2 linked regions of the Rattus norvegicus genome follow. The protein of the gene in region 1 interacts with the protein of each later gene in a pairwise test. Links are inferred from orthologs where the notes say so. Each region holds a gene or a part of one and is shown on either strand. Other genes may lie near its edges.

Region 1 (5,302 bases):
GAATAGCTGAGTAAAAGCTGAGTCATTCGTCACATGACAGTTTCGAAAATAATAGGACACAGGGACATATTAGCATAGAGTGTATATTCTATGGGTAAATTCTAGCATGTTCCATCGCCCTTATAAGTGTGTTCAAACATGTTCCCAGAGGCTTCCATTCTCCCTGACCTTGTGTCTCAGGTGACCCCCTCAGAACAGTGCATACATAAAGTGGCTGCCCTCATCCCTCCTCCAAGAGCCTCCTTCCCCACCTACATATCCTAGTGGGAAAGGGAGAGGAGAGTGGGAGCCAGGCCCTTCAGCAGTCTGGGCAGAAGTGTCAGGGTGAATTCTGATAATTGAGGGATCCTAAGACCCACGCCTCCACCAAGTCTTCACCAGGAGTCTCTGACCACCTTCAACCTTCTCTTCCTAGCACTGACCAGCTTTGAGGTGGTGATTCAGTATGGCTTGGCCACCCCAGAGGGCCTGGCTGTAGACTGGATAGCAGGCAACATCTACTGGGTGGAAAGCAACCTGGACCAGATCGAGGTGGCCAAGCTGGATGGAACCCTCCGAACCACTCTGCTGGCGGGCGACATTGAGCACCCAAGGGCAATTGCTCTGGACCCTCGGGATGGGTGAGGACTCTGCCTGTCCTGTGTTCAGCCTGGCAAGGGACACCTGTCTTCTCAGTACTGTTGACTCCCCGACAGTCATCTGTGGTGCTGCCGCCCCAATTTTGTCCCCCCTCCCTGCCTCCCTAGGATTCTGTTTTGGACAGATTGGGATGCCAGTCTGCCCCGAATTGAAGCAGCATCCATGAGTGGGGCCGGGCGCCGAACCATCCACCGAGAGACAGGCTCTGGGGGTTGGCCCAACGGGCTCACCGTGGACTACCTGGAGAAGCGCATCCTCTGGATCGATGCCAGGTCAGGGGCATCTCGGCAGGGGAGGGGTGGGACCAGCGTAAACAAAGATGAAGCCAAGAGGAGGATGGGGGTGAGGGTGGGGAGGAGCGCCAAGAAGGAGCAGGGTTGTAACCTACAGTCATCCATCTGCCCTCCACTTTTCTCACACCCTGTGTCCTCTGCTGAGGGCTCTGCCTGCTCAGAACAAAGAGAAGGTGCCTTTTCCTAACTCACACTAGAACTCTGAATGCCAACTGTAACCCTGGGAAGGACATGTGGAAGATTCCCTTGGGGAACATAAGGCTAGGATCCCAACCCATTGGATTACCCCCACCCCCACCTCGTGCAGCCTGCGTCTCTCTTTAGCCCCGGGGCAGGGCTTGGGAAGAGGGAAGGTGTACACCAGGGTCCCTTGCTGAGACCCCCACTTCTCTCTGTTACTCTCAGGTCAGATGCTATCTACTCAGCCCGTTATGACGGCTCCGGCCACATGGAGGTGCTCCGGGGGCATGAGTTCCTGTCTCACCCGTTTGCCGTGACACTGTATGGTGGGGAGGTGTACTGGACTGACTGGCGAACAAACACACTGGCTAAGGCCAACAAGTGGACCGGCCACAATGTCACTGTGGTACAGAGGACCAACACCCAGCCCTTCGACCTGCAGGTGTATCACCCTTCTCGGCAGCCCATGGGTAAGGGAACTGAAGAGGAACCACCAGCCCCTGGACAGGGAGGGCGCTGGGATAACAGGGGTGGGGGTGGGCGGATGAGAGTTGGGGTGAGAGCCAGGTGGGAAGGGACAGGGAAGGATCAACACGTCACAGGATGCTCTCGCTTCTTCTCCCCGGACCAGCTCCAAACCCATGTGAGGCCAATGGGGGCCGGGGTCCCTGTTCCCACCTGTGCCTCATCAACTACAACCGGACGGTCTCCTGTGCTTGTCCCCATCTCATGAAACTCCACAATGACAACACCACCTGCTACGGTAGGAAGCCGCCTCCCCTAACAGCTAAGGGTAAACTGAGGCAGAAGTGGAGGTCTGAGGTCCCTGCTGCTAAGCAAAGGAGGGGCTCTGAAAATCAGCGAAGGAAGGAAGCCGGGACCTGACACTGTCCCTTTGTAGAGGTTCCCAACCTGTGGGTCTCGACCCCTTTGGGGGTCAAATGACCTTTTCCCGGGGGTCACATGTCAGATATCCTGCATGTCATGTTACTATTCATAACAGTAGCAAAAGTACAGTTATGAAGTGGCGATGGCAATGATTTTATGGTTGGGCGTCACAACATGAGAAAGGGTCACAGCATTAGGAAGGTCAAGGGCCACTGTCTTAGCAGAAGGCCAACAGCACACAGTGGGGACTCGGGAGGGACCTAACCTAGGTAGGCAGGAAATCTGGAGGCAAGGGACTGCATTCAGTGACCTGCTTGCATCCCACAGAGTTTAAGAAGTTCCTGCTGTACGCACGTCAGATGGAGATCCGGGGTGTGGACCTGGACGCCCCGTACTACAATTACATCATCTCCTTCACGGTGCCCGACATTGACAATGTCACAGTGCTGGACTATGATGCCCGAGAGCAGCGAGTTTACTGGTCTGACGTGCGAACCCAAGCCATCAAACGGGCATTCATCAACGGCACAGGCGTGGAGACCGTTGTCTCTGCAGGTTCTGGCCCTGTCCTCACCCCAAGGCCTACGCCAATTATGCCCCCAGTGGTCCTGATGCTCTTTCTCCAAACCTTATCCCTAGCCTGTTTCTTGACCCTCGTTCCCTAGGTACCACACTCTCCTCAGCCTATACCTGTAAATACCAACCGCCGTTCCTTATTTGTGCCCCCAGACTTGCCAAATGCCCATGGGCTGGCTGTGGACTGGGTGTCCCGAAATCTGTTCTGGACCAGTTATGACACCAACAAGAAGCAGATTAACGTGGCCCGGCTAGATGGCTCCTTCAAGAATGCGGTGGTGCAGGGCCTGGAGCAGCCCCACGGCCTGGTTGTCCACCCGCTTCGTGGGTCAGTCTACTGTAGCTCGGGGCTGGGGCACACCCGTGTGAGGAGGGAAGAGGAGGACCCTTACCCTCTTCTTGGTTCTTTTCCCAGCAAGCTCTACTGGACGGACGGGGACAATATCAGCATGGTCAACATGGATGGGAGCAACCGGACTCTGCTCTTCAGTGGCCAGAAGGGCCCTGTGGGTATGCACTTGCCCTGCTTGTTCCTGCAGGCCAGGCCTCTAGCTCCCCAGTTAGGAGCTGCTCCTGGTGTCTCCTATGCTTGTCCCCCATCTAGGCTCTTCCAGCTCCCAGCTTGGTGCCCACTCTCACAACCATGGCTCCGTGGCTCTGACACCCATTCCTCTTCTAGGCTTAGCCATTGACTTCCCTGAGAGCAAACTCTACTGGATCAGCTCTGGGAACCACACGATCAACCGTTGCAATCTGGATGGGAGTGAGCTGGAGGTCATCGACACCATGCGTAGCCAGCTGGGCAAGGCCACTGCCCTGGCCATCATGGGTGAGGGCTTGGGTGGGAAGAAGGACGGAAGTAAAGCAGGCTAGGCACAGCCGAATGGGGGGAGGCATGTCATGTGGGCCACTTTCCACCCCAGGAGCCTGATGGCTTCTGCAAGAGGGCTGAGCAGGGGACCTTCCCAAGGGTCTTATTCCCTCCTGTTGCCCCCAGGGGACAAGCTGTGGTGGGCAGATCAGGTGTCAGAGAAGATGGGCACATGCAACAAGGCCGACGGCTCCGGGTCGGTGGTGCTGCGGAACAGCACCACGTTGGTTATGCACATGAAGGTGTATGATGAGAGCATCCAGCTAGGTATGCAGTGGGTGCAGGGATGTGGTGTACAGCGGGTCTGCAGCAGCAAAGGGTGGGGGAGCAGAGAGGCTGCAGAACCATGCCCATGAGCGGCCTCCAGAATAGTGGGGTGACGGGCCAGAGGGAGGCTGAGCTCCACTCCTCACCCACAGGGCTTTTCCTTTCACCTTATACCCACTCGTGTGAAATGTAGACTCAGTCTGGCCAGAAGGTCCAGGCTTCTAAGAAGACATAAGTCCTGAGAGTTGGGTTGGGTGGGACCCTGACAGGTCCAAGGTGAATCCAGTGACTGTCCTCTCTGAGCAGCCCAAGCCTATCCCCACAAAGGCCATCTCACCCTTTTCTGTCCACTGCCCTCCCCCAGAGCATGAGGGCACCAACCCCTGCAGTGTCAACAATGGAGACTGCTCCCAGCTCTGCCTGCCAACATCAGAGACAACTCGCTCCTGTATGTGTACAGCTGGTTACAGCCTCCGGAGCGGACAGCAGGCCTGTGAGGGTCAGTTCCCGGCATTTCCTCTCTGCCTAACCTTGACCCCTTCTACCCTATTGCTACATCGTGCGTTTGAGAAAGACATCATGTTACCAGGAGGCTTCTGGGTTAGATGGTTATCCAGTCCCCCTTCTGGGTACTGTGGACAAAAGGTCGAGCCAGAAAATGGGGCCAGCATAGTAAGAAGCTGGATCACAATGTGCTGCTGACTGTCCAGTATCTGCAGTAGGTTTTGGTGAGGTAGTCACCCACTGACAGAGGCAGGCCAGCTTGGCAGAAGAGGCGTGCCCCATGCTGTGCCATGGGTTTATAGAGTACATAGAATGTGATACTTGGTACATTGAAGAAAGAAGTTGGTGGTTCAATAGAGTGTGCTTAACATGACCTGAGCCCTGACTTAAATCCCAGCTATGTATGTGCACAGTGGGGACAGACGCTCATGTTATATAAGAGGCAAGAAATGTAGCTAAGCAGTCAAGTTCCAGGGCCCCTGAGCCCTGTCAAGGGCAGTGTGGGAAGACTATGATAAGGCTGTGAGCTAGGGTGGGGTCCTGTGGGTTCTCAGCCAGGAGTGCCTGGAAAGTGGTGTTTGGAGATTAACCTGGGGGTAGAAAGCTTACAGAATGGGGGAGGGAGAAACCAAGGCAGTTAGACCAGTTAGGAGACTATTAGGAGTGTGCGCTTGAGAAGGCATGCTCTAGGCTGGGCTACTCAGCCGGCTTGCAGGGAAGGGATGAGACTCAGAGACACTTCATGAGAACTTGCTGGTTTACAAGCTTGCCCTTGGACAGAACTTTACCCCAAAGAGCTCTGACAGAAACCTCCTGCTTTGATGTGGGTGGGTGTTACAGAAAGGAACACAGAACCAAGCAACATGGAAACATTGTATCACACATTTTATCAAAGGGATGGGAATCAGGGAGGATTCTGGGATGCAGAGGTAGCGATGCCCTCTCAGAAACAGAAAAACTGGGAACAAGACTGGCCCCGGGCAAGCAAGATGCAGGGAACTTTGTGTTGGGAAAGCATTTGGAACAGAGCAGAGGCAGGGCAATGAAAACCTTAAGGTCAGACCAAGTGCCAAACTGGGAATCT
Region 2 (6,102 bases), on another chromosome or scaffold:
ATGTGAGTACCTGGAGCAGGATTGCTTGGACCATTAGCAGAACCCAGCCCAGGCCAGGCCAGGGTATGGAGTGTGGTGTGTGCTCCAGGTCACAGCCTAAGCAAGGTGTGGCTGGAGACCAACACTTTGAGAGGCTGTGTACTGCAGAAAGACAGACGTCAGAGTCAGGCTGGCCTCCAGGGTCACAGGGCCACCAAATGTGGCTGTGCTATGTGCCTAGCCAACATGGGCAAGTAGGGCTAATGGGCGAAGTGCTTCTGCCCTGGGAAGCTGCCCAAGACCCAACCCCTAGGAAGAAGCTGCCACCCTGCCAGGGCTGCGCAGTTCTCCTGGGTCACCTCCCAGGTCAGGGCTCATACTTCTAAGAAAATGGCTTGGGCGAGGTCAGAAGAACACTCCCCCCCGCCCCCGTCTTCCCAGTGCACGTGCCTACCCTCCAGCTTCCCTGCCTCTTTTCTTCCTTCCCTACAGCTGGTATCTGTGAACACGGAGTTGCAAGTCCCTTTCTTCGGCAAGTGTCTCTTGGTTCTGCCCAGGAGATCTAGACCATGGTGACTAGGGGAGAGTGGGTGGCAGTAGAGGTCAGCCCTTGGCCAGTTCTATCCCCTCCTAGGTAGTGACATCCTCCCTCCTTTGTAACTCACATGCTCCATCTTATCCTGGGGTGGCCAGGAGGAAGGGAACTGAGGTTTACAATACCGATGCCTGAGGCTTAGGGCACCTTATCCATGAGATGGCCCAGAACCCTATTCCAGGGTGGTAAAGAAATGTAGCACATGGCAGCTTGGAAGAAGAGTGAGACACTTCAGGCCTGACATGATGTCATCCCATGATGTCACCCTGCCACCTCAAAGCACCCCAAAGTAAGACTAGGGTAAGAACACCATGGGTTTTAAATGGATGAAGTGTGTCATCCCTGATACTTCGTTCATGAGTGAGTTTGGGAGGGAGAGAAGACAAGAACACGCTCCCTGCCCTCAACGGAGCTAAGAGTTAATAGAAGGCTCCTGACCAGAGCCCAGAGCCCTTCTCACCTTTGCCCCACTAACCTGGTCTGGTCTGGTCTGGCCCCACTCAGTCCTGTTGTTTGGTGGACTGGCTTCTTGGTCCATGCCTAGAGGACATGGATACACAGACACATCCTGTGGCCATGTAGAATCCTTAGACCACTGCAAACCCTTCAGTCTGAGAGGAAGGGTAAGGACTGAGGCTGTCCTGTGGCCCGCACCTAGCAAGTATCTACTGAGCCTAGAGTGTGTACCTGACACCTCACCAGACCTGCCCTCCAGGAGCATCCGGTCTAGATGGGAGTCAGGAAGGGAAAAATACAGATGATGAGGGGGATGTACTCCACCCAGCTTTGTAGTCAGGAAGTGTAGGGCATTTCTTTTTTTCTTTTTTCTTTTTTTTCTCAGAGCTGGGGACCGAACCCAGGGCCTTGCACTTGCTAGGTAAGCGCTCTACCACTGAGCTAAATCCCCAACCCCAGGGTAGGGCATTTCTGATGGATGGGTCAGGAGGGCTTCCTGGAGGAAGGTTTCTCTGAGCACTGTTGGGGCCCAGTACCCACCCTTGGGAGGCAAGGCCCAGCAAACAGTAAACATACAAGGCTGAGTCTCCCCCTTGCAGAGTCCTGGAGGGTTTTTGAGTGAGGAAAGAAAGGATGGTGGTGTCCCTTACTGTCTCATGGCCACAGGAGAGGTCAGAGGGGGAGAGGGGAGACTGAGGCTGGCAGTCAAGGTGGTGTAGTTAATGCAGGAACTGGACCAGGGTTTGGCAATAAGGAGACAGAGGTGTGTGCAGACACCAGTGGAGCTGGGGGCATCCGAGGACACTCCCAGAGAAGATGCCTCGTGGGACCCAGGAACTCAGCCATGCTGTCTGAGTCCCAGACCTTACAGTCAGACTGCACTTAGGGTTAGCCACAGGGCCAAGAGGCCAGACTGAGGAGGGTGCTCTGGCCTCTGGACCAGTCCCCATGTCATTTCAGTACCAGCTAGTAGCCACACCCCCCAGCCTGAGAACCTGCAGCTACCCTTGGGGTCAGAATCTTCCAGGGCAGTTGTCACTAGGGACCTCCATGTTCAGTCAAAGTCACTCCCAAATGACTCCCAATCCTGCGTCCAAACTAGTGGTACCCATTGCTGTCTTCCTGCGCATCCTTCCAGCCAGCACCAATCCCTGAACCAACCGCCCTGGCCCTGGGCTTGCAGAAGCCTCCCAGATGCGGTGTGGAGGCGGAGCCTGTGTCTGTGTGGAATCAGGTGTCCATTCTTGGGGCCCTTCGGGAGCCCCTTCCATCTTCTCATTTGGCACCCTGAGTGTGGCGCTGGCCCTTTAAAGCAGATCGGGGTCTGGCGTTGAGGGAAAAAAATTACCAGATTTCTGCTGTCTGCTTACATGCCTGGCCTTGGGAGGGAAGGGGGGGTCACTCCAGCCCCCAATAGGGGCATTGGAAGGGCAGGTGGAGCCAGTAGCATTGATTGCAGTAACCTGATCCCGCGGGGGAGGCGACGACATCGTTGCGCATCGGGCTGCCAAGGAAGGAAGCTGCCCGCATCTGAGGGTTGGGCCAGGAAGAGTTGGGGCTGGGGCCTGGGTCGGCAGCTGCGGCCTCCTCTCTGGCCCATCTATTTTTAATGAGCTCCCCGGGCTTCTGCAGCCGGCAGAATGCAGAAAGGCAGGCCCAGTCTGTGGAGGCCAGAAGTCCCAGCCCTGCCTTGAGCTCTGGCCCCCCTACCCTTCTGGGCATGAAAGGGCAGCTCTGGAGCCCCGCAGCCCCCTGGCCGGGCAGGGCTCTCCATGCAGCTGGTACTGAAGATGGATTCGAGCCCAGACAATGACAGCTGGTTGGAGGATCAGTGGGAACGCTGGTAGGGTCCTGGGGCCTGGCCTCAGGTGGGGGAAGGGCGAGTTGTCCGGAGGTGCTCTATTGAGCTCAGGGGCCCTGTTCAGACTGAGTGAGGTAGAAGACAGAGGTGCGAGCCTTCTAGGCTTCCCTGGGAGCTGCACCCTGTCCTTCCTCTCCTGGGTGACCTTGGATGAGCTTGTGTACCTCTGCTGTGTGCCTAACCTCCTGGTCTCTGGGAAAAGGCCCAGGCATTCTCTCCAACTCCCCAGATGTCCCATTTATACTAAGCCAGACAGAGTACCAGGGTCAGAGTGAGCCGGTGCAGGGGACAGGTCAGCACCACAGTGGCAATCTCAGTAGTGCATTCCAAGGTAGGCACACAGGGTAGCCTGGGCTCCTGGAAGTCTGTTAGTGGTCTAGTACCAAGTGCTCTCCATGGCCACTCACAAGACCTAGCCTTGGTCTTCCCTGACCCCATTTGTTCAGGGTCCTTATACCAGATGAGATTGTATAGTTGAAGAGATGACACCAAGAATGTTGGCAGGTCCCCCTCACTGTGACCATGGCTCAGTGGCGTATATCTTTGTGGGTGAGAGAAAGGGGCACCTACTGTGCCCTTCTGGTGGCTCCTTGGGTCTTGTTACTGTGGAGTGCAAAGATTTTCCTACTCTGGTACCTCTTGGGGGTTGAAATGGCCTTGGCACTGCCTTGGCCATAAAGGCATTTCTCCAGTAGAACTGAAGGTCTGGACAGTTGGGCCTTCTAGGACTGCCTTCTGGTTGGCAGCCGGATGGAGAACTCCCAGCCGGTGATGCTGGAGAAGCCTGGAGATGCCTCCTCCGCCACCCTAGGTGGAATGCCTTTTGGCTCCAACCCCAAATCCTTCCCCTGCCACTGCGCTGACAGACTGAGTCCTTCATCTGGGAGCTGCTACCTGCCTCCCACGGTCTTCCCCTGAGAAGAGGGAGAGGCCAGCAGGCTTAGTTGGGGCTTAGGGGCCCTGGGTTGTGACTTTGGTTTCTGTCCCCACTAGGCTCACCCATGATATCAGCCTGGAGGAGTTTGAGGATGAAGACCTTTCGGAGATCACTGATGAGTGTGGCATCAGCCTGCAGTGCAAAGACACCTTGTCTCTCCGGGTAAGGGCTGGGTCTGAAGAGTCTGAGTGGCTGGGAGGATGGGCACAAAGATTAGGGAACCCCGCTATTTACAAAGGAGCTTGTGAGTGTGTGTGGCACTCCCGGGAAGTGAAATAACAAGGTAGGAAGCATCTAGTATAATGCTTGACACATCTTGGGTGCTCAATCCAAAATCTCCATTTATTATTTTTGTCAGTACTAAAGCCGGAAGCAGCTTCTTCAGTTGTTCACAGGGAAAGAGAGCAGGGGGCTTGAGATGTAGGACAGTGGCAGTGAGGACCAGAGTGAAGGGAAGGGCCTCTCATGAGCTTCTTGGCAGAGGGCCTGCGACAGTACTGGGTGGAGCCTGGTGGAATCTGCAGTGCTTTGGGGCAGGAAGGAGGAACCCGGGTGCTGCTGGACTAGCTCCTGTGACTGCTCCTGCACCCCCCTGACCACACCGCCAGCATTTTAGGCTTTCAGTGGCCCCTGCTGCATGGTTGGTCCAGTACTGGCATTGCTCAGAGCCCCTTGGCTTTATCCTAGTGACAGGCTCTCTTCTGTATATCTGAGTGCCAAGGTACCCGGGATAGATGGGAATCCCCATCCTGTTGTCAGAACACAGAGCAAGGACTTACCTGCAGGATAGGGAAGGCAACGGCACAGGGCTAAGGATCAGAGGCCAGCACCAGGTGTAGTTGAGTTGCTAGATATGGCATTTCCATGGTGTGAACCAGGGAAGGGCATTTGTCTTAGTGTTGCCCTCCTGGTATCCCTAGCACTTTTACAAACTTCCAGGCAAAGGGAAAGCAAGCTGTGAGGGTGACTTTATGCTTCCCAACTCCTTCACTCTCTTACCAGGCCAGCAAGGATGGAGGCAGAGGCTACTACTTCTGGGTTTAGAGAGTGGTCCCAGAGATGGGTCATACTTGCTTTGAACTTTAAAACCACTGTCTCCCGGGGTTTGGGGATTTAGCTCAGTGGTAGAGCGCTTGCCTAGCAAGCGCAAGGCCCTGAGTTCGGTCCCCAGCTCCGAAAAAAAGAAAAAAGAAAAAAAAAACAAACAAAAAAACCCACTGTCTCCCATATGCAAAGCTTTCAAGAGGGTCTAATGCAATTAGCCAGAACTATCACCTCCCCCTGCCCTGGTAGTAGGCTAACTAGAGTGATCTCCTGGTAGGAGTCTAGTCAAAGTTTCTCTCTCTGTGTCTCTCTGTCTCTCCTCTTTTCTCTCTCTCTCTCTCTCTCTCTCTCTCTCTCTCTCTCTCTCTCTCTCGTCTCTCTGTCTCACTCCTCTCCTCTCTGTCTCTCCTCTCCTCTTCTCTATGTCTCTCTGTCTCTCTCATCTCTGTCTCACTCTCTTCTCTCCTCTCCTCTCCTCTTTCTCTCTCTGTCTCTCTGTCTCGCTCGCTCTCTCCTCTCCTCCTGTCTCTCCCTCCCTCTCTCCCTCCCTGTCTCTCTCTCTCTTTCTCACCTGGAGGACAGCATTATAGGCCTAGTCAACTCTTGAGGGTTGACTAGTCAAAGGATCTGTCCAAGGTGCCAGGAGTTAGAGGCAACAGTGGAAGTAGCATACAGTTCGGGTCTATAAAGGATAGGTTGGCTGAGGGATGTGTTCAGGTCAGAGCTGACTGGGAAGGTCTCCCCTTAAAGTTCCCCTTCGGGTCCAGTCAGGGTCTCCTGCCCGCAGTGCAGTCTTCCTTACCTGGCTGACATGCACTTTCCCCAGTTTGCTTCAATGTCCCCTTCAAATGCCAGTTGTCTCGCTCATGCTCATCCCCATTGGGGACGGAATTCCTGGGCGACCCCTAGGTCTCCATGGCAACAGCGGTGATTTCACTCTGGGCTCGGCTTACAACCCGGGTGAGGTCACTGGCCGTTACCAAGGGAACGGAAGGGTGCAAGGAATCCGGAGGGGGGACCGTGGGAGAAGAGAGGCGTGGGCGGTTCTCTGCGCTGGCGGCGTAAGGATCCGGCCTCCGGGGGGAGGAGGAGTGGCGGACGGGAGCGGCCCAGTGCTTCTGTCTCTGCCTGGCTCCCAGTGTCCCACCCCTTGCGGCCGCGAAATGGACTCGTCCGATTGAGGGGCGGGGCACCTAGGCATCAGACCCACCCCTCCTGCGAGACCCCTCC

Evidence for each region. The genes of interacting proteins can lie anywhere in the genome.
Region 2: the proteins of Lrp1 (region 1) and Mapk8ip1 interact in a two-hybrid assay, tested with the Homo sapiens proteins (2 studies listed by BioGRID). The link is inferred for Rattus norvegicus from reciprocal best matches to the Homo sapiens genes LRP1 and MAPK8IP1.

Annotation. Positions count from the first base shown.
Region 1 is NC_086025.1:65,296,412-65,301,713, reverse strand, and holds part of Lrp1 (prolow-density lipoprotein receptor-related protein 1 precursor), read left to right. Parts: intron 1-415; coding exon 416-620; intron 621-746; coding exon 747-911; intron 912-1,337; coding exon 1,338-1,582; intron 1,583-1,743; coding exon 1,744-1,875; intron 1,876-2,327; coding exon 2,328-2,555; intron 2,556-2,729; coding exon 2,730-2,904; intron 2,905-2,991; coding exon 2,992-3,086; intron 3,087-3,255; coding exon 3,256-3,405; intron 3,406-3,573; coding exon 3,574-3,714; intron 3,715-4,078; coding exon 4,079-4,213; intron 4,214-5,302. UniProt on the Homo sapiens protein: Endocytic receptor involved in endocytosis and in phagocytosis of apoptotic cells. Required for early embryonic development. Involved in cellular lipid homeostasis.
Region 2 is NC_086021.1:98,816,181-98,822,282, reverse strand, and holds the start of Mapk8ip1 (C-Jun-amino-terminal kinase-interacting protein 1), read left to right. Parts: upstream 1-2,585; 5' UTR 2,586-2,802; coding exon 2,803-2,873; intron 2,874-3,884; coding exon 3,885-3,990; intron 3,991-6,102. UniProt on the Homo sapiens protein: The JNK-interacting protein (JIP) group of scaffold proteins selectively mediates JNK signaling by aggregating specific components of the MAPK cascade to form a functional JNK signaling module. Required for JNK activation in response to excitotoxic stress.